3 linked regions of the Caenorhabditis elegans genome follow. The protein of the gene in region 1 purifies or fractionates together with the protein of each later gene. This does not show direct contact. Each region holds a gene or a part of one and is shown in the gene's direction. Other genes may lie near its edges.

The links. The genes of interacting proteins can lie anywhere in the genome.
Region 2: the proteins of ztf-8 (region 1) and hus-1 purify together in Caenorhabditis elegans (affinity purification with mass spectrometry, with the first as the bait; one study listed by BioGRID). This does not show direct contact.
Region 3: the proteins of ztf-8 (region 1) and gei-17 purify together in Caenorhabditis elegans (affinity purification with mass spectrometry, with the first as the bait; one study listed by BioGRID). This does not show direct contact.

What each region holds. Positions count from the first base shown.
Region 1 is NC_003281.10:5,266,901-5,276,053, reverse strand, and holds ztf-8 (C2H2-type domain-containing protein), read left to right. Parts: upstream 1-2,582; 5' UTR 2,583-2,584; coding exon 2,585-2,664; intron 2,665-2,714; coding exon 2,715-2,814; intron 2,815-2,862; coding exon 2,863-3,149; intron 3,150-3,225; coding exon 3,226-3,533; intron 3,534-3,580; coding exon 3,581-3,663; intron 3,664-4,052; coding exon 4,053-4,253; intron 4,254-4,320; coding exon 4,321-4,464; intron 4,465-4,508; coding exon 4,509-4,583; intron 4,584-4,692; coding exon 4,693-5,009; intron 5,010-5,018; exon of another isoform or gene 5,019-5,042; coding exon of another isoform or gene 5,043-5,129; intron 5,130-5,180; coding exon of another isoform or gene 5,181-5,295; intron 5,296-5,338; coding exon of another isoform or gene 5,339-5,472; intron 5,473-5,619; coding exon of another isoform or gene 5,620-5,793; exon of another isoform or gene 5,794-5,815; intron 5,816-5,874; exon of another isoform or gene 5,875-5,928; intron 5,929-6,122; coding exon 6,123-6,287; intron 6,288-6,751; coding exon 6,752-7,055; 3' UTR 7,056-7,299; downstream 7,300-9,153. Other genes in the region: toc-1 (similar to Transporter Of divalent Cations), read right to left, coding at 1-238, 320-465, 510-639, 712-765; Co-chaperone protein daf-41, read left to right, coding at 1,298-1,416, 1,551-1,900, 2,007-2,065; ZC395.4 (uncharacterized protein), read right to left, coding at 5,043-5,129, 5,181-5,295, 5,339-5,472, 5,620-5,793; ZC395.5 (Ovule protein), read right to left, coding at 7,559-7,704, 8,105-8,183; gro-1 (C2H2-type domain-containing protein), read right to left, coding at 8,924-8,996, 9,041-9,138.
Region 2 is NC_003279.8:3,696,581-3,700,899, forward strand, and holds hus-1 (Checkpoint protein), read left to right. Parts: upstream 1-1,521; 5' UTR 1,522-1,531; coding exon 1,532-1,583; intron 1,584-1,639; coding exon 1,640-1,702; intron 1,703-1,747; coding exon 1,748-2,100; intron 2,101-2,174; coding exon 2,175-2,252; intron 2,253-2,304; coding exon 2,305-2,506; intron 2,507-2,556; coding exon 2,557-2,642; 3' UTR 2,643-2,720; downstream 2,721-4,319. Other genes in the region: msh-2 (DNA mismatch repair proteins mutS family domain-containing protein), read right to left, coding at 1-412, 489-724, 772-955.
Region 3 is NC_003279.8:9,100,484-9,109,221, reverse strand, and holds gei-17 (E3 SUMO-protein ligase gei-17), read left to right. Parts: upstream 1-1,639; 5' UTR 1,640-1,682; coding exon 1,683-1,754; intron 1,755-1,879; coding exon 1,880-1,915; intron 1,916-1,997; coding exon 1,998-2,111; intron 2,112-2,190; coding exon 2,191-2,220; exon of another isoform or gene 2,221-2,234; intron 2,235-2,524; exon of another isoform or gene 2,525-2,622; intron 2,623-2,902; exon of another isoform or gene 2,903-3,115; intron 3,116-3,161; coding exon 3,162-3,527; intron 3,528-4,197; coding exon 4,198-4,323; intron 4,324-4,379; coding exon 4,380-4,474; intron 4,475-4,519; coding exon 4,520-4,616; intron 4,617-4,700; coding exon 4,701-5,173; intron 5,174-5,909; coding exon 5,910-6,223; intron 6,224-6,324; coding exon 6,325-6,581; intron 6,582-6,819; coding exon 6,820-6,957; intron 6,958-7,218; coding exon 7,219-7,384; intron 7,385-7,549; coding exon of another isoform or gene 7,550-7,692; exon of another isoform or gene 7,693-7,899; intron 7,900-7,988; coding exon 7,989-8,047; 3' UTR 8,048-8,376; downstream 8,377-8,738. Other genes in the region: nduf-7 (putative NADH dehydrogenase [ubiquinone] iron-sulfur protein 7, mitochondrial), read left to right, coding at 707-784. UniProt on the Caenorhabditis elegans protein: Functions as an E3-type smo-1 ligase. Mediates smo-1 conjugation to air-2 in vitro and is required for proper chromosome alignment.

The sequences.
Region 1 (9,153 bases):
AACTTGAAGCCGTTGCTGATTGAAGAACATGTTGAAACGGTTGATTTTTAAGAGCGTATGCTGAGAGAAGCAGCGCCACTGAAGATGCAGCAGAACCAACAAAATATGGCCAGCCGCCGATTTCTTCTACTTCATGTTCGTGAGCCGCTGAAGCATCATGAGAACCATGGTGATCAGGGGATAACAAGTGCTCGAATGATTCCTTCGATAAAAAGATGGAAAATAGTTGAGCCAACACCTGAAGAAGGTTATTTTTAATCTCAAAAATACTGATTCCAATTGGAATACATTTTTAATATTTAGTGTTTCAAAAACTCACGGTAGTACTAAAGACTGCCAAAACCGGTACTCTGGCTAATCCGTAACTAAATTTATGCGTTGGTTTTTCGGTTATCGACATGGAATACAGAGACGCGAATTGGGAGCAAAACGAAAAAATCGTAATCCAAAGAGTTGACATTAGAACTGAACAAAAAACTATTATTTTTGCACTCAAATACAACAATTACCTATCGAGTGGCTCGTTGATACGCAATATGCCAAAATTCCAACACACGCCAGGCATATTAATGTGGAAATTAGTCCTCGTTTCCCTTGAGGATGGTGTAACGACCTTGATACCCATGAGAAGCTGACCATCTGAAAATAGAACACTGCATTTTTGTTTCTGAACAATTTTAGACGCATAAAACAATAAATTAACAACTATACGCTGTGGAAGTCAACACGATTCAAATTTTTCTTCAGAAAATCCATTGCTTCCATATTTCCATCAAAAAATGTTCATTGAACGATTTAAAATTAAGCTGAAATGAGCCAAAACCTCGTAAATGGAGACGTGTTCGTTCAAAGGCGCGCGCACTTTCACCACTGGGTCTCGCCGCGATTTGGGAACTCTCTCGAATTATTTGAATTTCTGCCGTTTTATCATCTTCATTATGCGTTTCCATGGCAATTTTCCTGAAGAACATTCGCGACTTTATATTTCTAATCCATTTACGTTTATATTCAATGCCATTCGCACTTAAAATATATCGATTTTGGCCAATAGTCCTTGTATTTAGGAGAAAAAGGTTGTAAGAGAAAAATCAATCGAAAAAAGAAATTAAGTGGACAATTCTTGCTTGTTATTGCCGTGATATGAAAACATTTTCATCTGATGGCTTTATTTTCGTCAATTTGCATAATCATGCTAATTTCAACTGTGCGCTTATTTATATGTCGTGCACCTTCCTTGAATTTTATTGATTATTGTTCGTATCCGTCTAGTTCTCTTTTCGAATTACAGGCAAAAACCATGGCTAAGCAACCAACAGTTCTCTGGGCCCAGCGTGAATCACTTGTCTATCTGACCATCGAGGTTGATGAGGCGAAAATCGAGGAACTGAAAGGAGAGGGAAACAAGCTTCACTTCCAGTACGTTTCGGATTAATATTTCGATTTCTATTTTAAATGTTTAAATACGATATGAAGCATATTTCTTGCTTCCTAAATATTCACAGAATGTTCATGATGGTACATAGAATGAGTCGTAATTCGTAAATTTTCAGAGGAAGCAGCAAAACTGACAAGTACGAAGCAACTCTCGAATTCTTCGACGAAATCGATCCTGCATCCGTAAAGCACACTGGATCTTCAACCCGCGTCGTTGAGATCACAGTTCAGAAGAAGACCCCAGCCTGGTGGCCAAGACTTCTTCAAAACAAGGGAAAGGTCCATTGGTTGAAGGTTGACTTTGGAAAATGGAAGGATGAAGACGAGGATGATGAGGCTGAGGATGCCGGAGCCGGAATTGGCGGTGGAATGGCGAACGGATTCGATTTGAACCAGTACATGTCCCAGATGGGAGGAGCTGGCGGAGCAGACTTCGGAGGTCTTGAGGATGATGAGGAAGATGACGGTAAGTATTAAGTGCAATAATATCCTTTTTGCTTACTATTAGTAATTCGTTAATGATAGAAAACCAATGTAGTATTAAAATGTTATTTATTATAAAAAATTTTCAGATATGCCAGATCTCGAAGACAACGAAGAGGAGGAAGGAAAGAACGGAACGAGAGCTTAAGCAACTCCTCAAGTCCCAATTGTTTCATTAAAAATACAATTTGAATTTCTCTAATTTAATTCTTTATTCATTTTTCTCTATCCCGATTATTCCTCTTCCAGTTTGTGAACGCTTCACGTATCTCAGTCACAGAGTTTCATTTATTGTTTCCACTTTAAATATTTATTGAGTAAAGTGATATCACACCCATCTTCTTGCAGTGAACTTGTGAATTCTGACGGCTTAATTTTTATCCCGCATTCGTTTTTCTAATCAGTTTCCATGGGCAAGAACACAATTGGTAAGGCTCTGGTAATACTTTTCTAAAGTTGTTACTTTTTTTAAAATGTGAGCATACAAGGTATTTAATTTTGTCTTCTTTGTGGATCCACATGGAGAAAAAACTCCTGAAGACATAAATTTTACTCATTCAAGCTGGATAATATCATTCAAATCATATCATTCAAGTTAATACGCTTTTTCCGATCAATCATCTGAATCACAGCCAGAGATTAAATTATGAAATCGTATTTTTAAGATATGAACCAATTAGTGTGTCCATTGTGCTGCGAAACGCTGAAAGAGGAAGGCGCACACTTCTACAAACATTTTAAGTACAAGTGAGGATTTTAAATGTTATTTCTATTATTAAATTCATATATAATTTTAGGAGATATGCATGCGGAGAGAGCACATGTGATATGGGATTCTACACACAACAGGAGCTCAATGCTCATTGCTCGAAACACGGACACAAGCGCTCTTTTCAGGTTTTGAGACGATTTTCTACAATTAAAAATATTGTTTTTTTTCTTCAGAAGACAGTAAACCCATACATTGACAAAATGATATCGGTTGTTGTGGAAGACGCATACGCCCTAGCGACTGACGATATGGAAACTGTGCTTGAGAAGCGATGGGGAAGAGATCCGAGATCAGTGTCACCGACTTCACCTGTTAAAAAGACTCCTACTGATAGTGCAAAGAATAAAAGAAGTTCCGTCGTAACTCCAACATCTCCTCCAGTGCCAAAAAAGGCAAAATCGGGAACTTCTACGACTTCACCATTTGCATTTTTAAATAGAAGAACAAATAATTCTGAGAGGTATTTATTCACTAAATACAATTTTAACAATGCCTAGATTCCGACAAAGCCCTCGTTTTAAAAATGATATATTCAGCTCACTCTGCCCCAACGCCTCCTCAACATCAGCTCAGCCAGCTTCATCAAGTTCAGCTCAAGCTATAGTTGATTCAACAACCAGTGAACATAATATATCTATTGATAAAACAAAGAAACCGAGGAAGAAAAGAAACGAGTCAATGACAGCAGCTCAAAATCAAGAGAAAGCTGGAAAAAATGCAAATTACGATGAAATGTCAGCGATTGATAAACTAATTGGATGGTTTGATCCAAATGTTCCAGAGAGACGAGATGCTGCAAAAGTGAAATGTGCGGTTTGTAATGAAGAAATAGTTTATGATTTTAGTGAGTTTTTGAAATCTCTAAATTCGAATTTAGTTTTTATCTTACAGTTCTCCGAAAAGGACACGTGACTCGTTCCCACATGGCAGCTGATGTAGCACCAGAAGATTATGATGATTTGCTGAAAACTGCGGTATGTACAGGAAAACAAATTAAATTGAGAACAAGGCTGTGCAGCAAATCTACAAAAACAAATTTAAAAAAGGAATATGATATTTCATTTTGAGGCAAATCTGAATTCGAGAAGGAAAAAAAAAGAATTATTCTTATTTTTTTCGAAACAAAAAACGAAAAATCTACAGCCCTGACGGTGACTTTCCTGCACTTTTTGAGATAATTTTCGAGTTTTTTTCTCAAAAATAAATATCATATTCAGATCGAATGAACATTTCCCCCACACTGTTATATTAATTTTTAATTTGAATTAATTGATTATCATACTGAAATTATAAGTTTTGACCCTGTATCTACATTTATCCTAACTAGGTTGCAGTTTTTAAATTAAGAAAAAATGAGTTTCAGATGGATCGATCGTATCCAGATCTCCCAAATTCGGATCTTGCTTGTCAACTTTGCATGACTGGTGCTGAAGTTCGAAAAAATATGCGCCGAGAGCATATCGAGAAGCTGCACACGACGAGTCTTCCACCGCTAACATGTCCAGTTGGAGAATGTGAAAAAGGATTCAGAAGACAGTGTGATTTGAGTTCTCATATGAAAGATGTATAGTTTTATTTATTTAATTTATAATAAAGCTAGGAAATTGACAAAAAAAATCAAAGAATTCCAGACACACAAAGCGAGCATGGCAGTGTACAAAAATGCAACATTTCAACAAGTTCGTCGCCGTCGAAATGCTATGATAAACGAGATGATCAATAAATGCTTTCCGTGGTCTCGATTAGAAGCAATTGAGAATAAGACTGTAGTTGGGGTTTGTTGAATTATTAAAGTTTTCTGGGTAATTATGAGATTCAGGAGAAGTCGGATTCTGTTAACCGCGCTCCTGTCGATCGCTCGTTTGACACAGATGTTCGAGTGAGAGACGTTAACGTAAGTTTTTAGAAAAATTATCTACGGGAGTCATCACGACCAAGAGTGACATCCAAATTTTTTTTTAATTGAAATTTAATTTTTCAATTCTTACAAAACACATTTTCAGAAAACTCGCCGTGCTCCTCAATACAATGCGAACCGATCTTCGTCGTCCGATTCTGATTCAGAACATGAAGAAGCAGCGTCGGTGGCTACGGGAGAAGTTTCCGAAACTGGTGGAACCGATGATTTCCCGCAAGACGTCATATACATATGTCATCAATTCAATACGGAAGTTGCTCAAAAACTGTCGCAGATCGTCAGAATAAAGCCAGAGATCATTGATGTGGAAGACGTGCTTATGAATGATGTTACAATGGAAATAAATGAGATTCCAGTTAAAGAAGAAACAGAGGAAGAGCAACCGAAAGAGGAAAATAACAGGTAAAAATTGCATAGATTAAGCTTTATTCGTTTTTAAGTAGTTTTCTCGCTGCTTCCTGCAATCTTCTTTTCATCAACAGACAATTGTTGCGTTATCTCAAGTTTTCGAGTTTCCGTAGCCTGGGAAAATAAGAAAATATTTAGATTAGTCTAAAAATAAATACTCCTCACCTCTTTAGAGTTGCCCTTCAGTATTGCTTTCTCGAATTTCGGAAAATCGTCATCCAGCGTCACATACTCGGGATCTTTGCTTTCCTTCATTCCGGTCACAGTGCGTTTCGCGTCACTGTAATGAGAATGATTGGGAAATTAGTTATTATTGTGCTTACAGTTTTCTTGGTGGAGCTACAGATGGTCCATGTGACATTTCTGAAGCTTTTTCGGCAATCTTCTTGAGTTGAGACACCGCCTCGTTGTGTTCATCCTTTGCATCACGATCACTTTGCCTTGGTCCCTTGCTCTTCTGAAAAAAGTCATTTTCCAATAATAAATGCCTGAAAACTCTTGAGAATTGGCGAAACTAACTGAATTTTTTTTTAAATTTACGGTTTCGCCGCCAAACACCACTTTTATCTGCGCCCTTCTAATAATATTTCCATCCCTCTCTTACCTCCTTGGACGGAACTTTTGCCATTTTGCTTGCTCCCTTCTCTCCCGATTGAGCTGTTGTCGAATGTGAAATTGACTTCATTTCGGGATTAACACTTCCACCAGTACCAGGAGTCGATAGATTCTTCTTCGCCGATTTCATTTTCTTCTTCTGCTTACACTTTGTGACACACATTTTTGAACTACTACACACGTGCCTGGAAGTGTGCGGAAATTGTTCTTCAACGGAAACGATAGACGAAAAAAATAAACTCACTATTACAGTTCGATTTATTGAAAAATGATAATCGAACAGATGAGTGAAATGATTAAAAATAAGAACTGATGAAATTGAACCTTTTTGAATATTTCGTTTTGATGTTTTTTTCTTACGTAAATAGTTTAGATTAATATTTTTCTCCCGTAAGGTTACATATTAATTCCTTTTGAAAGTTTTTTGAAATTTTTTGAAAATTGCCCGTTTTTGGAAAGATTCAGTACTCCATATTATTTTATTATTTTCAGTACTCTACCATCAATTCCAATTCCATCAATCTTCTCACCATATGAGCCAATTGTTCCACCACCAGCTACATCTCCAGATCCAATGAATCCGCCAATTGCATCACTGCTTCCAACTCGAATTCTCAGTGCGACAAACGTTTTGGAGAATAAATATAATGAAAATGTGTGAGTTTTTACGAAATATCTGAAAATTAAAAAAAAACAACTTTTGATGTTTCCTATCAATTTTGCAAAATTAAAAAAAGATGGGCTAATTATTTTCAAATTCTCGCGTTAATGAATTGCCTAGTTTAACGTTTTCAGCTCGTTTTCCGCGAAAAAATTATTTATAACGGTGAAACTGTTTTTAAGTCAGTTTTGAAGTTTTAGTGAATTTATTTTGGCCTAAAAATTGAAAAACTCATCTTCATATTAAATATTTTTTATACTGAAAAACATTTGTTCAGCCAGGGAATTTAAAAATAATTAGCCCATCTTTAATTTAATTTAATTTTCATTTATATTTATTACGATAGTAAGATATGGAAAAAAAATCATTAAAAAATTATAAACGTTTTAATTTTTAAGCAGTTAAATTCAAAATCAGATCAGTTTTAACCATCATTACAATATATAATTTCTAATTTCAGTAGCTCAAGAAGATCGACATCACGTGAACGTTCTTCCAACAGAAACTACGATGAAAGATGGTCTCGAAATGACTACAGTAACCCTCGTAACTACAGCAATCGTTCATTCCATCAACGAAACCAACGGGGACATTCATCATCGAATCGTTTCAATTCTCCATTTGTTAGTCGAAATAACTACAACAACAATTCTGAAACAACTGAAGGATCTTCTCGTCGTTCCGAATATAATTCTTCGTCTTCCAATCATCATTCCCGTTCGTCATATCGTGGCAATCGAGATGATCGAGGCTCTCGATGGTAAAGCCGCCATCAATATTATATATGCATTTTCCTTCTAAAACCGTTCAATCTTCAAATATTTCCCTTAACCTTCCAGTATTCCAAATCAGCTTGTGCGAAATTTTAAGAAAATTTCTCGAAAAATCTAAATCTCCTTCGCTTTCAAACATCAAATTTAGTTTCTGTGTGTTAGTATATCCTAGCGTTTCATATCTAAGATAACAATTCTCAATTATCTCTTTTTAGTTAGCAATAAAATAATGCCATTGTTGTTTGACTTTAATTGTTGAATCTCTCGTTCTGTTTAAACGAATATTCCATGTGTGTTGTGTTTTATAATATTTTATTGCTTCTATCGTTCTCCAAAGTCTCGATTCAAAAATCCATGTTTCTAAATACGGAAGTGAAACTAAAACTGTTAAATCTAAAATTTTCGAATCAATATAAGTACATTTATTTACAGAAACAAAAAATTACAATTTCAACATATAAAATTACAAAAATCAACAAGAAAACGATATAATTTTAATACATTTCTTTTTCAAATGGATCATCAATCTTGACACTAAAATCCATTGATCGGTTCAAAAAATCGCGGAATTGTTCGATTAAACTGTCACGGCGACGACTTCCGATAGATTCCATGTGACAATCCATTGATGTATCAGATGCTGAAAATTTTTATAATATCAATAACTTTAGAGGGGAAAATTACCTGAAATATATTACCGAGACGCAAAACCTTACGATTTTTACACCAAACTAAGGCGTCCGGTCTCGAAACGACAAACATTTGTTCAATTCGAAAAGGTGTGCGACTTTAAAGAGTATTGTAGTTAGAAACTTGTGTTTCTGCGGAATTTTCATTGATTTTTCTATTTTGTTGAAATTTAATTGTAAAACATATTTTCTTTTGTTGACAATCTACAGTACTCTTCAAAGGTACACACCATTCACAAACATTTGTCGTATCGAGACCGGGCACTGTATTTTTGACAAAAATCTGGGTAAATTCTCAGGGTTAATACAGCAATTAATCAACATATAGTTTTCATTTAAAAAAGAACAAACCATCACTGAAACGTCGCTCCCTTTCATCGTCACCACCAATCTTCTTCAAATCCATAAAATCTTTGGTCGATTTGTCCATTCTTCTAGTTCTTCTCAACAATCAAATGAATTATCAATCAAATTGTTCGTCTTTTCCTTTTTATATTATTCTTTTTTTAGCGGGTACCTAACCATCTAAACAATCAAAAATGGGTGGAGAAGGTCGATTGACACACGTGATTATATCTTCTACATGCTTTTTCTTATCTATTTGATATTAATAAGGTAACATTTATGGTAAACACTTACGAATGCAACACAGTGTATCGCATTTCTGCTCGTGGAGCAATAACATGGAATAGGTTTTTCTTGAATATTCTAATACAGGTGCTATTTTGAAAATGTGTATAAAAGCCAATATTTTAACTAACATGTTCCGTCATGTGAAGTGGTAATCGGCAGTCCCCCTAGTGAACAATTTTCAGACGGAATAATATCGATCCAAAAGACATCGCCACATGTTCTCCTCTCCTCTTCCGGTAACTAGTCACTGAGACAATCTATAAATCTGTAAATGTACACTGTCTATCATGTACCATTTAGTGTACTGGATATAACCTAAACTAATGTCCAAATCTATAATGGTTCAATTCTCACAGCTATGACGAGTTCTTGACGACATGACGTCATCACTGACAATTAAAGATAGTTCCCTTCGTTCGGGTTGACTATCGTCGGAGATGTGGACGAGCGCCTAATCTTCTCTCTGAGCTGTTTTTTTATTTAGAGAACAATCAACAACAAAAATAATTTAAGTTAACAAAAAATAAATATAGCGTCTTATGTGCGAGTCTCTGCCAATTTCTTTTGCTTAGCATGATGCTTGTGCTTTTTCCCATCGATATGTTTCTGCCTGAAAAAATTCATTTCGAAATTATAATATGTATTGAAACAAACCAATTATCTTTTCCAGTCATTGAAATATTACAGATTTCACAATTCAGCAGAATATTTGCATCGGACCCTTTTAGAATTGGATTGGTGTCTGTGGAGATCTGTAGAAATTTTAA
Region 2 (4,319 bases), on another chromosome or scaffold:
CAGCACATGAATCAATCAGCATATTTCCATGAGTTCCGTAATTGAAAATACTATACTTCTCAGAAATACTGTATTCATCGGCTGCGTTCGAGTGTAGAATTTGAAGGCATTCCTTGATGTTTTCGTTTTGTTTTTCGGCTTCATCTTTATAATCCAGATGAACCGACTCGATTACATCGCTCCATTGTGACTTTGGCTTCAGCTGTTGCTTGTTGTGAACCTCCATTCTCGTGAACATGCTTGCTATTTTCTTAGCCTTCGGTGCAACTGATCCTTCATTCACTAGAATATATTCTGTGGGGCATAGTCCAAAAATGCATTGTTCCGTTTGAGAAAAAGAAGGAGTATCGATGTATTCACTGATCACAATGCGAACATTTCCAGCATCCCAAGCGCACAATGTTACTCGATTCTGAAATTGGGAATTAATTTAAAAATCTAAAAATCTATAAATCTCTAAATCTAAAAATCTATAAAAATCGTCATACATCATCATCTCCTGGATGAATATAGATTGCAAGAATCGGAGCCTGATCTGACACTCCAATTTCTTGCTCAAAATCCACAGTATTTCCTGGAGATCCACGCTTCGTCATTTTCCACTCTCCCTGTTCACTCGAGTATAGCTCAACGGAGCATCTGAGCAGTACGATGGTTTCACGAACGACCTTCTCGTATTGTCCACGATTTACGGAAATGTACTTCATTTGTTGAGAATTGTCGGCTGAAATTTCACATTTACAGATTTTATTTTGATTTTTCGAGTCTTACTTGATAAAGTGAACGTTTTGACGCAAACATCACTCTTGAAAATGTTAGTAGCGACAAAGGTGGCGTCATCGCCATACACAGAAAAGTATTCGCCTCGTGAGAAAATGGCAATTGTGTTCGGTGATTTAGATTTTAGGATTTTTAGGAGCGCTTTGTCGCTGGCTTCGTCTTTTCCTCCACTCATTTTCGATTTTTTCGCTGAAAAATTCGAATTTTTGTGATAATATAGAGTAAAAGTGAAGAAAAAAGAGTTCATCAACGAAAAATGATTCGACAGAAAGGCCGCTTACTTTTGAAAAGAAATTAAAGGTGCATACAGTATTTCTGTAAAATGGTCCTGCAGGGAAATAGTGTCTCATTGTTTTGGGATTTTTAGCATTTCTAAATTGAATTTAAATGATTAAAAATTAAACAAAGAATATAATCAAATTATTTAAAAGTTCTGTAATAATTTAGATTTTAATAAAAAGAAGGCGAAAATCACATGTTATGCTTACTGTTAAAGATTAAAGGCACATACAATAATACGGTGAATTGGTTTCGCAGGGAAAGAGATACGGTGGTTTTTATTTTTAAACTAATTTTTGTTTCATTTTTCCTTGCAATTTTAACTCTAAACATAATTATTTTAAAAAATTTCGAAAAATATCAAAAGTAAAGTCTTTTTTCAAATTTCTTCCATCGCGCGCGATTTTCCCTTTTTCATTCTCCGTCTCCTTCTCTTTCTAACTAATTTTCACTATTTTCTAGGTTTCAAACAATGAAGTTCAGTTCTCTTCTCCAAGATACTGCGGCAATCGACGTGTTTATCAGTGAGCAGACTGATTATTAAAAAATCTATGAAATATCTGAAAAAATTGTCTTTCAGAAATTTTGACATCAGTGAGCAAATTGAGTAAGAAAAGATGCTGCGTCAAAATAGAAAAGAATGGTTTTAAAAATCCTGTTTTATTAATAAAATTCTATGAACTTTCAGCTCTCAACTTTATTTGCTGTTCAGGACTCCATGATGGTGGAAGTTGGTTCAGTTTATCAATTCCCTATAGCAGTCAAATTTTCCGAAAATTCGATATGGTTGGCATGAATCCACGAAACGAAGAGCAAAATTTGATTTATTTTGAATTGGAAATCGATAGTTTAGTACGTGTTCTGCCCGGCGGACACTGTTATCTGAAACTGAAACTATCGAAAAGTCAAAAAGATGAGCCAATGTTGTCTGTCGAAGTTAGAAATCCAGAAGCCGATATTGTTTCTCATCAAATTCCAATCACAATTATTCTATCAAAATATTGGAATTCGTACTCCAGGCCGTCAATTGGACACAGAAAAGTAAACGATTTTATGATGATAATTATAACTTTACATTAATTTTTTTAATCTCTATTGAAAAAATATATTTACAGATGTCAATCAGCATGCCACCTCCTAAAATGATGTCCCGTTTCTTACACGTCTTCAAAAATATGAACACTCGAGTTGTGGTAATAATATATACACAAATAAAGTCCTGAAATATAAGTTAATTTCATCCAGAAGCTCACAGCCAGTACATCAGGAGATTTGAGGATTTCTACGAAAATTGAAACTGGCGAGATTGATGTAAGCTTCTCGGATCTTCAAACTAATCCATCGGAAACCGATAGTCAAGAGGATACTGCAAAAGTTCAATTAATGATTCGAAATATTTCTCCATTGTTTCAAAGTTTCGCCAACACTCGGACACGTGCCAAAATGAGTAGGATCGGAAATATTTTGATAATTTTTAACAAAAAAAAAATTTTCCAGATATCATCTCAAATCGAATGGCAGAATTCAATTTTCACAATGAGGATTGCGTTCTTTCGTATATTGTTGGAAATGTTTCGGATTAGAAATAATGTTTTTTGTCGTTGTTTGAATGCCTAATTTTCTAGATCTCATAAATTCTGCAAATAAATTTTTTATTTCTTAAAATATATATCCATTTATCAACTGGCTTATTGGCTTTGATTTTCAAAGCATCTTAATTTAAATTAAGTTTAAAATCAGAATATCAAGTTTTTCAAGCGAATTTTTAAACATTTATTTTTTGATAAACTGTATAAAATTCCAAAAAAAAGATAAGCTTGAAAAAACTTTTATTTTGATAGCCGAAGTTCAAGAGGAAGTTGAAAAATAAATTTTTTTTCTAAAATTGCTGGAACTCAGGCAACTCAAATCTAATATGAAAATATTAAATAGCAATATTTTTGTAGTTGGGTGATATTTCAAGATAAAATCGCAATATTCCGAGACTTATTCGAAATCTTTTTAGATTGAGCAATATTTTGAGGTTGATTCGCAATATTTCTGAATCTGAAAATATTACGAAAAATTCGTAATATTTTGAGATGACATAGCAATCTTTTGAGATTGGTTCGCAATCTTTCTGAAATCTAAAAATATTACAAAAAAATGTGTAATATTCTAAGATTAATTTGCAATCTTTTTGCAGTCCATAAAGATTACAAAACATCATTTCCAAATTCCCATCGGCTTCACATGATCGTGATATATATACAACAATTATGATTACTGTTCCGTTCTAAATTCTCTTTTCTTCCAAATGATGAAAGACTTTTCAAAGTAAAAAACAGCTACATGAAAATCTATATAATGGAGTATCTCACTGTTAACGGATATTTGATTTTTCGTTGCATATTGTAGAAGGAGTTTTTGCAGAGAAAGCCACAGAATTCACAAATCTGTCCACTCATGTAATTTTTTCTAGATAATTGGCCGGTCATATTATAAATTCAGTCAAACAATCACGAAGATTGGTCGAATATATTAAAGTAGACTTACAACTATTCATTCACGCGTGATGCGTTTGAGATTTTCTGATTTCAATTGAAATCATAAAATATTGTCAACAGCAAGCATGTTCCCAGTATACTCATCATTTTAATCAAATTGTTAGCGAAATAAAATATTGAAAAAATAAAATGTTATTCTCTCTTTGACAAAAATTCGGAAAAATTGCAATTCTAACATTTTTAAAAGCATAACAAATAAATCGTTTTTCCACATTCGCTTTCAAAGAAAGTTATCCAATTTCGCTCTGACACTTAGAAAATTTGCGAAAAGTCACTGATTTCCCATCAAAAGTAACGAAAAGGACGTGCGCCCATCAACTATTTACTTAAGCAATAACTAAATCTAGATGCGACACGTACAGGATGGCTCAACAGGTAAGATAATGGTTCATAGACTCAACGACAAGCGACGGACAAGTTCAACTCCCCTCAATGCACAGGTGATTCGCCACGGACGCATAATGCCTCAAGACCCATTATGCGCGTGTTTGCGAACGAGGACCTCACATTATGTGCGTTTTTGCGAAGCGTTCGCAGAAACGAGCATAATGCCTCGCCGATGGGCACAATGCGAACGCTCGCAATGTGCGCATTTTGTTTGGCCGTTATTCCCATCATTAAAGTGCTCATTTCAGTTAGTTTAAAGCTATTTTTGTTTGAGTTCTCTGTTTATTGACTGTTTTTTTGCTGATACTAAAGTTTCTGAAAAACAAA
Region 3 (8,738 bases), on another chromosome or scaffold:
GGTCCACCTGTTACACAAAAAACGCACTCAAAATCTGACTGCTCAATTAAGGATAATGAGTGTCCAGATCTCGTGCAGGCTCATTTTCCATTAATTGAGTAACAATTTGTTTCAGTTAATGTCTGAAAATATTCCAAGAAAAGCGTGTTGCTATGTTCAAAAATGAATTTTAATAATTCTATGACGTCATAATATGTACCTCACTATAATCTCGACACCCCATCATTATCAAAACTGTTTTTTTCGGGTTTTTCCGAAAAAGATTTTTGAAAAAAATTTCCCAATTTAAGAATGGTGGGCTAAGGACGGCATGATGTAATCGCGCTCCACGACCGATTGTAAATATTTCGAAAATACGTGGGTGCATGTGTACTCAATTATTGATCGAATTGGCGCGAAAGTCTTGTGTTGTCTACGCTCTCTTGCATACCATTGAGTCTTTATTTCTCTATTTCTGCTTAGTTTCTCAAGCATTCACTAATGAATATTTTGCCGTATCTAATGCAACAACAACTTGGTGTTTTGTTTAAATCTTTAGCTCTTCGAAATACTTTATCACATTCTGACTGTATCAGCGAATTTCTAATACATTTTAAATTAGTGAAATTATCTGAATAGCTTTAAAAATATTCCTAGCCTGCAGTCTTTTCTGAAAATATGTTTCGTCTAATAAAGAAAATAATTTTAATATAAAAAATTATTCCAGGCTCTTCTATACGGAGTTCTCCAACTTCAAAAGAAGATCAAGCGTAAGCGAGAAGCTCAACTTTGGTACAGACGCTAAACAGAACACGAGGCGAAAAGAAAGTACGAGAAAGTTGGAGAACTGTGAAAAAATTCGCAGAAAAATGGTCATTTTGTACGAGTAAGCCCCACTTCATTCATTTTTTGTGTTTCTCCACCTTTTCTCCATTTTCTTTTTTCTAGATCTGATATCGATAGTTTCGTTCGTTTTTTTCTGCGGTTTACTTTTTTTTTCGAATAGTGTCTATTTTTACCTCATGTTTTTTTTGGTTGAAAAAAAGTCGATAACATTTTTTTAAAGTTCTATTTTTTTCTCTCATTTTCTTTGGAACGGTTAACAACGCCGACCCTTTGTGGTTCTCTTTTTATTTATTTATTCATATTTTCACAAAGTCTGTGAATTTTTATATAGTGATTTGAAAGGAGATCACGACGCACTTTATAGCGCCGCCAAGTTTTTTTTTTTGGATTTGGTTTTTGGATTGAAAATAATACAAAAAAAGTCTGTGTGGATTGAAAATTGTATTGCGCAAATTCAAAAACACAAATTTTCTGGCGCCTCTTCTGAAAATTGCTGATCCTTTGTCACGGGCACAAACCTATCGTACACATTGATCTCATTGATTTCCTGAATGAGTTAACGTGAGTACGTTGAAATATTTTTTGCAGGATTTTGCAAAACTGATTCATCAGGTGTGCCCGTGTTTTTTGCGCGATTTTGGTCCATTAACTTCCAAAATTGGGAAATCCACACGGAACCGCGCTTTTCGAAACGCTTTTTAGGGAATAGAAAAGATCACATTTTTCTACTTTTTGTTTGTGATATTTTCACTACTGGACCATTCAAATTCGCCTTAATATCCCTTTTCCGAATCTGCAGTTTTATATTTTTCCGTCGTTTCGAGACACAGCGGAGGATCGGAGGTATTGAAATCAATATGTTACCGAATAATCAATGGCAAATACCTATAAACAATGGATTAACACATCAGGAAAATATGGCAGCACACGTGAGTTATTGGAAAATTATTGACATTTATTAAATAGTTTAAAATTCTTGTATTTTACCCAAGGATTTTTCTGTTCCAATCTGTTATTTTTCAAAAAGTAAAACTGATGGATTCCAAATTTTCAGGCAGCCGTCATGAAATTGAGAGTACACGATCTTCAGGTTAGATACCGTTTTTAATCAATCTTTATTGTTCAATACCTCAACGAGAAGGCGATGTGAATCAAGAATTTATGAATTTCAGTCGATTATCTCGCAATTGTCACTTCGAAAGCCACGTCCACAAAAATCGGAGCATCAGAAGGTCGTCGTTGAATCCTTGCGTGATCCTCATCATGCTCGGCAAATTTATCAAATGGTCATTTGTTTTTCTCGTTATTTTATTTATGTTTTTTTTTAAATGATGTTTTACAGCATTAATTTTCTCGAGTTTACAGGCTTCCAATTTCCCGAACGGAAATTATGAGGTAAGTATGAAAAAGTTAAATACTTTCAGTTAAAAAAAAACTATGTCAACTTTGATTAAATAGATGTGTGAGGTACTTTGGGTAACGTTTACCAGTGTTCTACCTCGGAGGAAATTATTCATTCACCTAGTATTGTCTCTTTACTCACACAATAAGTCTCGCATTTATCTCCACTAGCATCCTCATACCCACCATATATGTAGCCCTTTGTTTCTCTAAGTTTCCTCAAATATTTCATCCATTCTGCACTTGCTTCCTCGCAGCTCCGGCAACGGGACTTTCGCCCGTAATAAGGTGTTAAAAACCTCAAAAGCAGTGGATCTTCGAAAATTTCTTAGTTGTACTTTGCCCTGACCTTCTTTCCATGTTTCATACGTGTAGCTTGGCGCGTAGTTTTTCATTACAATTTTTATTTTACTAGATTGATTCTTTTGAATACTGTCACACTTTTTTGAAAATCAAATTCAAATTTTCACTCCTAAAGAGGTATTTGAGTTTTTTAATAATTGTTTCACTTTGAAAAATCGATATGGAAGCGAATTGGCACGATGTCGCTCGTGAGAAACTGGGAATCGTTTTTTTTTTTGTTGTTATTTCACAACAGTTGATTCGAATGCGCGTAACTATTTAAATCAATCGAATTTTTAGTTGGCTTATTATTGAAATTTTACTAAATTTTAAGAAAGTCCTGTTATCAAAACTCCAAAAAAACGGCTAGGTTTATCAATATATATCATTTCTTCGCAAGCACCTCTCCTGATGACATGTGCGCTCTATTGAGAAACAAACGTTCAAAAAATCTCTTCCGCTTTGTTTTTTATTCCCAAATGTATTTTTGCAAATGTTCTAATTGTCTAAAATATTCCACATATTTAAAGTTAGAGCCTAAAAAATTGTTTGTAAATCGTTTCTGTTTTAATAACTAAATTAAAAAATGTCAGATGCAGAAGCGACCTGCAACAACATCCCAAGTTCGGTCTCATCCATATGTGCTGCCATCTCGATCTGGAGCTAGTAATCACTTGGTCAATCATCATTATCAGCAGCAACAACAACAACAACCACAGCCTCACAATCTACTTCATCAACAAATGATGGCGTCACATCATTCACATCTGCAACAGCAGCACCATCCGTCGACGGTGAGATGGCTAACTCCTGAACTGCTCGAAGAGCAACTGAGGGGCTCGATGAGATACGGCGCTCCCGCTGCTGCTGCTGCTACCAACGCGCCGCTCCATTCATCTTTTCCTAATCATGGACGTTCTTCTCAGCAAAGTTTGCAGAAGTCGGAAAAATCAAATAGGGTGAACATTTTCGCCGCATTTTTATTGCCTGAAATTCACGATAAGAATGAACGCAAGAATATCGAGGCGGAAAGCATGTGAAGATATACTTTCGGTTTATGACCGTAACGGAAAATTTACCTGAAAAAATTACACTGGTAGCTTCTTCTGGGCACATATATCATATTGGCCAGTCGCGGTTATTTGAAAATTCCTCAATCGTGATACATTATGCAAACAAATGTCCTACCGTTTATTGAATGCACTTTTTTGAATTGCGTGTAGCATTCAAAAAAAAGAAAGAAAAATTCGAAGCTCCAAGATTTGCACGCTGTTATCACGAAATTTTCTGCATGATTCCGAATGGCGTAAAAACTAGAACAAGTGTGGTTTTAAGATATTACAGTATGGCATTCTTAGGAGCATGTTCATGAAGAAAAGCTTAATATGATAATCCTCTCTAGGCATTTCTTCATATTGCCGTGCTCAATTTTCAAATAGTTTTATTTCCAATTAGTTCGTAGTAGCATGTAAAAGTGTTTTTTTACTACCAAAAAGCAGGCATCATTAGAAATTGCGCGGCATGTGTTATACAGTTCGCTCACACGAGTTCAATGTTATCACCTGAAAATTGCTTTCAGCGTCTCTTTCTTACATTCCCACATGTCTAACCCATGTATTTTTTTTTCAGCCGAAAAAAATGTATGCTGATAATTTTGAACCGCTTCCACTTCCATTCTACGATGTTATTTCTGTTTTGCTGAAGCCTGTCGAGCTGCATTCATCAGACAGTCCAACTTTGAAGCAAACAAAACAGGTTGGTCTCAATTTACTCGCTCTCCAAGCCGGTTACCTATTAATTACTAATTTCAGTTACAATTCCCGTTCTTATTGACTGCTGAGCACATCTCCAAGATTTCGTATCGAGCTGATGTTACACCTCTTCCACGATATGAATTGCAGTTGAGGTACGTTTTATTATCATTGAAATCGGTTTAAATCCTTGTTTTCAGGTTCTTCAATCTTACTGAACCAGTTCAGGGTCCTCAAAAAGACGACTTTCCACTCAATTGCTACGCACGTGTTGATGATTCTGTCGTTCAATTGCCGGTATGAGATTTGAAACGTTCACGAAATATATTTAATTTCAAAATATCAATTATTGTTAGGAGTTACTATTTCTTCAAATTTCAGAATGTAATCCCAACAAATAAGACAAATGCTGAGCCGAAACGACCATCTCGTCCAGTGAATATCACTTCAAACATGAATAGATACAAGAAAGAGCACACAGTTGCAGTCGAATGGTTAGCCGACAAACGTGTATGGGCAGCTGGAGTTTATTTCGTTCATCGTGTTAACTCGGATATTCTCTTTAAACGTCTTAATCAGAATGTATCAAGACATCGATCACTTGAGGTTACCAAGCAAGAAGTGATCAAGAAACTGTCTGGAGGTGAAGATGATATTGCTATGGATCGTCTTAATATCAGTCTTCTTGATCCACTGTGCAAGACAAGAATGACAACGCCTTCTAGATGCCAAGATTGTACCCATTTGCAATGTTTTGATCTCCTCTCATATTTGATGATGAACGAGAAGAAACCAACGTGGCAGTGCCCTGTTTGCTCGAGTAACTGCCCATATGATAGACTTATTGTTGATGAGTAAGTTTTCAATTCACACTGACTAACTTTGATTTTAAAAAAAAGCGAATTATCTCAATTCTATGTTTTCATTATTTTTCTATTAACTCTTAGATACCGTTCCCTCACTTCGAAATTTCCAATTCTTGTGAAGACACTATTATTTTTCCAAACACAATTGTTATCTATAGCGATGGACAACACCCTTAAAATAGCCATGATGAAACGGTGATTAGGAAATTCGGAAACGCGTCGTCTAAAATAGGCATGTATTTGCAAATATAGTCTACGATTATTATCAGTAGTTCGTATTGGTCTCCAACTCAAAATTCAGCTCATGACGTAAGAGAACATGAAACAAATGGCAAAGGTCAATCATCATAATTGAGCAAGAGTTTTAATGTGTAATTGAAAATTATTATTATTCAGAAATTCAAAATCCCTGTAAATAATTCTCAATCAATTAATAATCCAAATAGTGTTCTCACTCTTATGTTTACCATGATCCAGATTCATATTGTGAACAGTGCATCATGGACAAACAACAAATTCGATGGCTAACTTCATGCAGTTTTGTGTGAAGCTGTCTGTTCGCACTATTCGCTCGTTTTCTTAATTGGAAAATACTTTTTAGTCACGGAAATGCCTGAGAAACTGCTTAGACGTTACCCAATTCAACATTTTATTTAAGAAATATTCAAATATCAAAATAAAAAGCAATGTTCTGAGACTATGCAAATATTGTTTCATCTTTCAGTTATTTCCTCGATATGCTTGCAAAGGTGGATAAGAATACGACGGAAGTTGAACTTAAGGAAGATGGCTCGTACGATGTTATCAAGGAAGAAGCTTTTTGCATCTCAGATGATGACGACGATGACGTTGTACCTGCTACTGTTAACGGTACAGCGTCATGCTCTTCGACAAATGGCAATGGACTTGCAAATGAAGCAGCGAAGAAAAAACCAGCTGACGACGACATAATTACCTTGAGTGATGACGATGATGAGGAATTGAACAGAGGTATAATGAACTCTCTGAACGACAGCTTCTCTCCTGGCAGACACACAGGTTTGCTATTCAAATGGCGTGGTGTGAGACAAGCTGAGAATATTGCAGTTTCTAGCAATATCAATTAAAAGTATTCACTTGAAATTCAAATCTTATTTCAGCTTCCGCAGAATTGGCTGCTCAAAAGACACCACCACAGCAGAAAAAGAAGACGAAAGACGATGACATAGAGATTATTACTCTCGATGATACACCACCTCGTCCAGTAGCTGCAAGTGCAAATCTTCCAATGCGTCAGATGTCTCAACAGAATCAAATGCCAGTTGGCTCATCTCCATCTGGAATGGCCTCAACGCAAATGGGAATGAACGAGGGTGCAAGTAAAACTATCCGGGATGCGCTGAACAAAATAGGAGAAGTAAGTTCAGAAAAACACAAATCTTCAAAAGAGCCAATATTGTTAGTTATTTTCCATAGTTTTAAGAGGATTTGTTCTTAATTTGACTGAAATCAGTATTCTAGTTATAACTTATCCGTTTTTAACCAAAACTAATACAAAGATTGAATTATATATTTGATTATATTATTATATGATATTGTTAAACTAACATCTGCTTCTCCCTGTCCACACTCACTAAACTGTCTGTTTGTTGCAGCAGTCAGCAAATTCATCAACACAATCATCTCCGCTTGTTCAACTTCACCATACGACACATCCATTGAATTTTGCTCAATCATCTTATATGAATCCCTCTTCAGGATCTCAAACACCTACATCACAATACGGATATTCGGTATGCCAGCACGTGTTAATAGTCTACCACACGCACTAATACTCTAGTGATATTTTTTCATAACGACAGAACAAAAAAATCCTGTTTTAATCTCTTTTTTTTCTTTGTTCAAGCCCCTATTAATTGGATAAGATACTTAGATGATTGTCCACTGCACTAGAATTCTGTCGAATTGAAAAAAATGCACTAGTTTTACGTCTGGAATTATAAACTTAACAAATATTTTTCAAAATTTTTTAAAAATTGAACTCTCGTTTTCAGCCAATGATAAACCAGGCACCACACTTCCAAATGCAAAACGGGCTCATAGGGCGAAACAATCAAATGGTTCATATGCAGCAGCACCATCTTCAGCAGCAACAACAGCAGCAGCAGTCACCACAAATCATGTCTCCGTCTTTTTATGCTCAACAGCAAATGTCAAACGGTAATTTTTTGTACACCTTACAAAGTTTTTGTATATTATGTTTAAACATCAAAACAATCACTTCACGATCTTCAGTTAATAGCGAGTAAACTTGTTGTGTAATTGCAACCATCCTGCATGCAAATATATATTTATTTCCCTTACTTGGTTTGGCCTCACTTTCAGGTGACACCAATAACATCCAACCACCACGAATTCTTTCCATGGCTGAAATACAAGCAAATGCATCTCGACTTTTGGTAAATGGACACCTGATGATCGATCACTCAGGAGTCACTATGCGCAATCCACGTGGCTCACGGAATTAATGCATGAATTGTATTTTTTGTGCCGTCTAGTTCATTTGATTTATGTGCATCTTTTACCCATATCCACGATTTACAATTTTTAACAGAATCCTGCTTGTGCTTTAGTCTAGTAAGTTATATTTGTCTGCATTATACGGCTGATTCGATGAACTTTAACTAGAATTTTGTGACGGTAATGTTTTTGTTAAATGAAGCTGAGTATCCTGTATGCAATCTTTTAAATACAATTGAAAAACACAATCCACTAATTTTAGATTTTTATTTAAAAATTAGATTTTCAATATTCAAAGTTTCAGGTGGTGCATTTGCATATTATCCTCCACAATACCCGCAGCAGCAGTATCGTCAGAATTGATTGATTTCCAATCATACTGCTTAATCTCATTCTTTTGTTTTTTTTTTGAGTTAATTTGGCTTTAATTTAATGTTCGGAACTTCAACCGACCCAATCAAATATCTCACATTTCTCTCCGTGATTTTTGTTCAATATGTTTTAATTTTCAAATCGAGCCCCCAAATCGTGTTTCTAGTTTTCCATCCATTTCATCCGATGTTTTTCCACAGCCGTGAAAATGCACAAGTGGCCTAGAAATTGTAAGAATCTAGGCCATGCGGCTTTCCTGATACCATATTTTTTTCCATTTAAATGGATGCATTTGTTCTCCAATGAATCGATTTATTTATACATATTTGTTTTAAAGAACAAATAATCAATTATAATAATTAGACCGGGGTGGCGAAATGGGAACATTTTTGAGAGAAAAAACTACCGAATCAGTGAGAAGACTAGGGGGAAAAATACAGGGAGAAATCACAAGAGAGAGAGACAAAAATGAAAGAATGAAAAATAAAATAAATATAGGAAAAATAAAAACAAATAAAAAATGAGAGAAGAATACCCGCATTTTATGTTTTTTTCTTCAGAACATGAAAATATCAAAATTTTTTGGATTTTTGTCTTTATGCATACGGGCTCCATCGAAAATTAACAATTGAGCACGTTTGCAGAGATAAATTTAAAAAAAAAGAAGAGGAGCAATACGTGG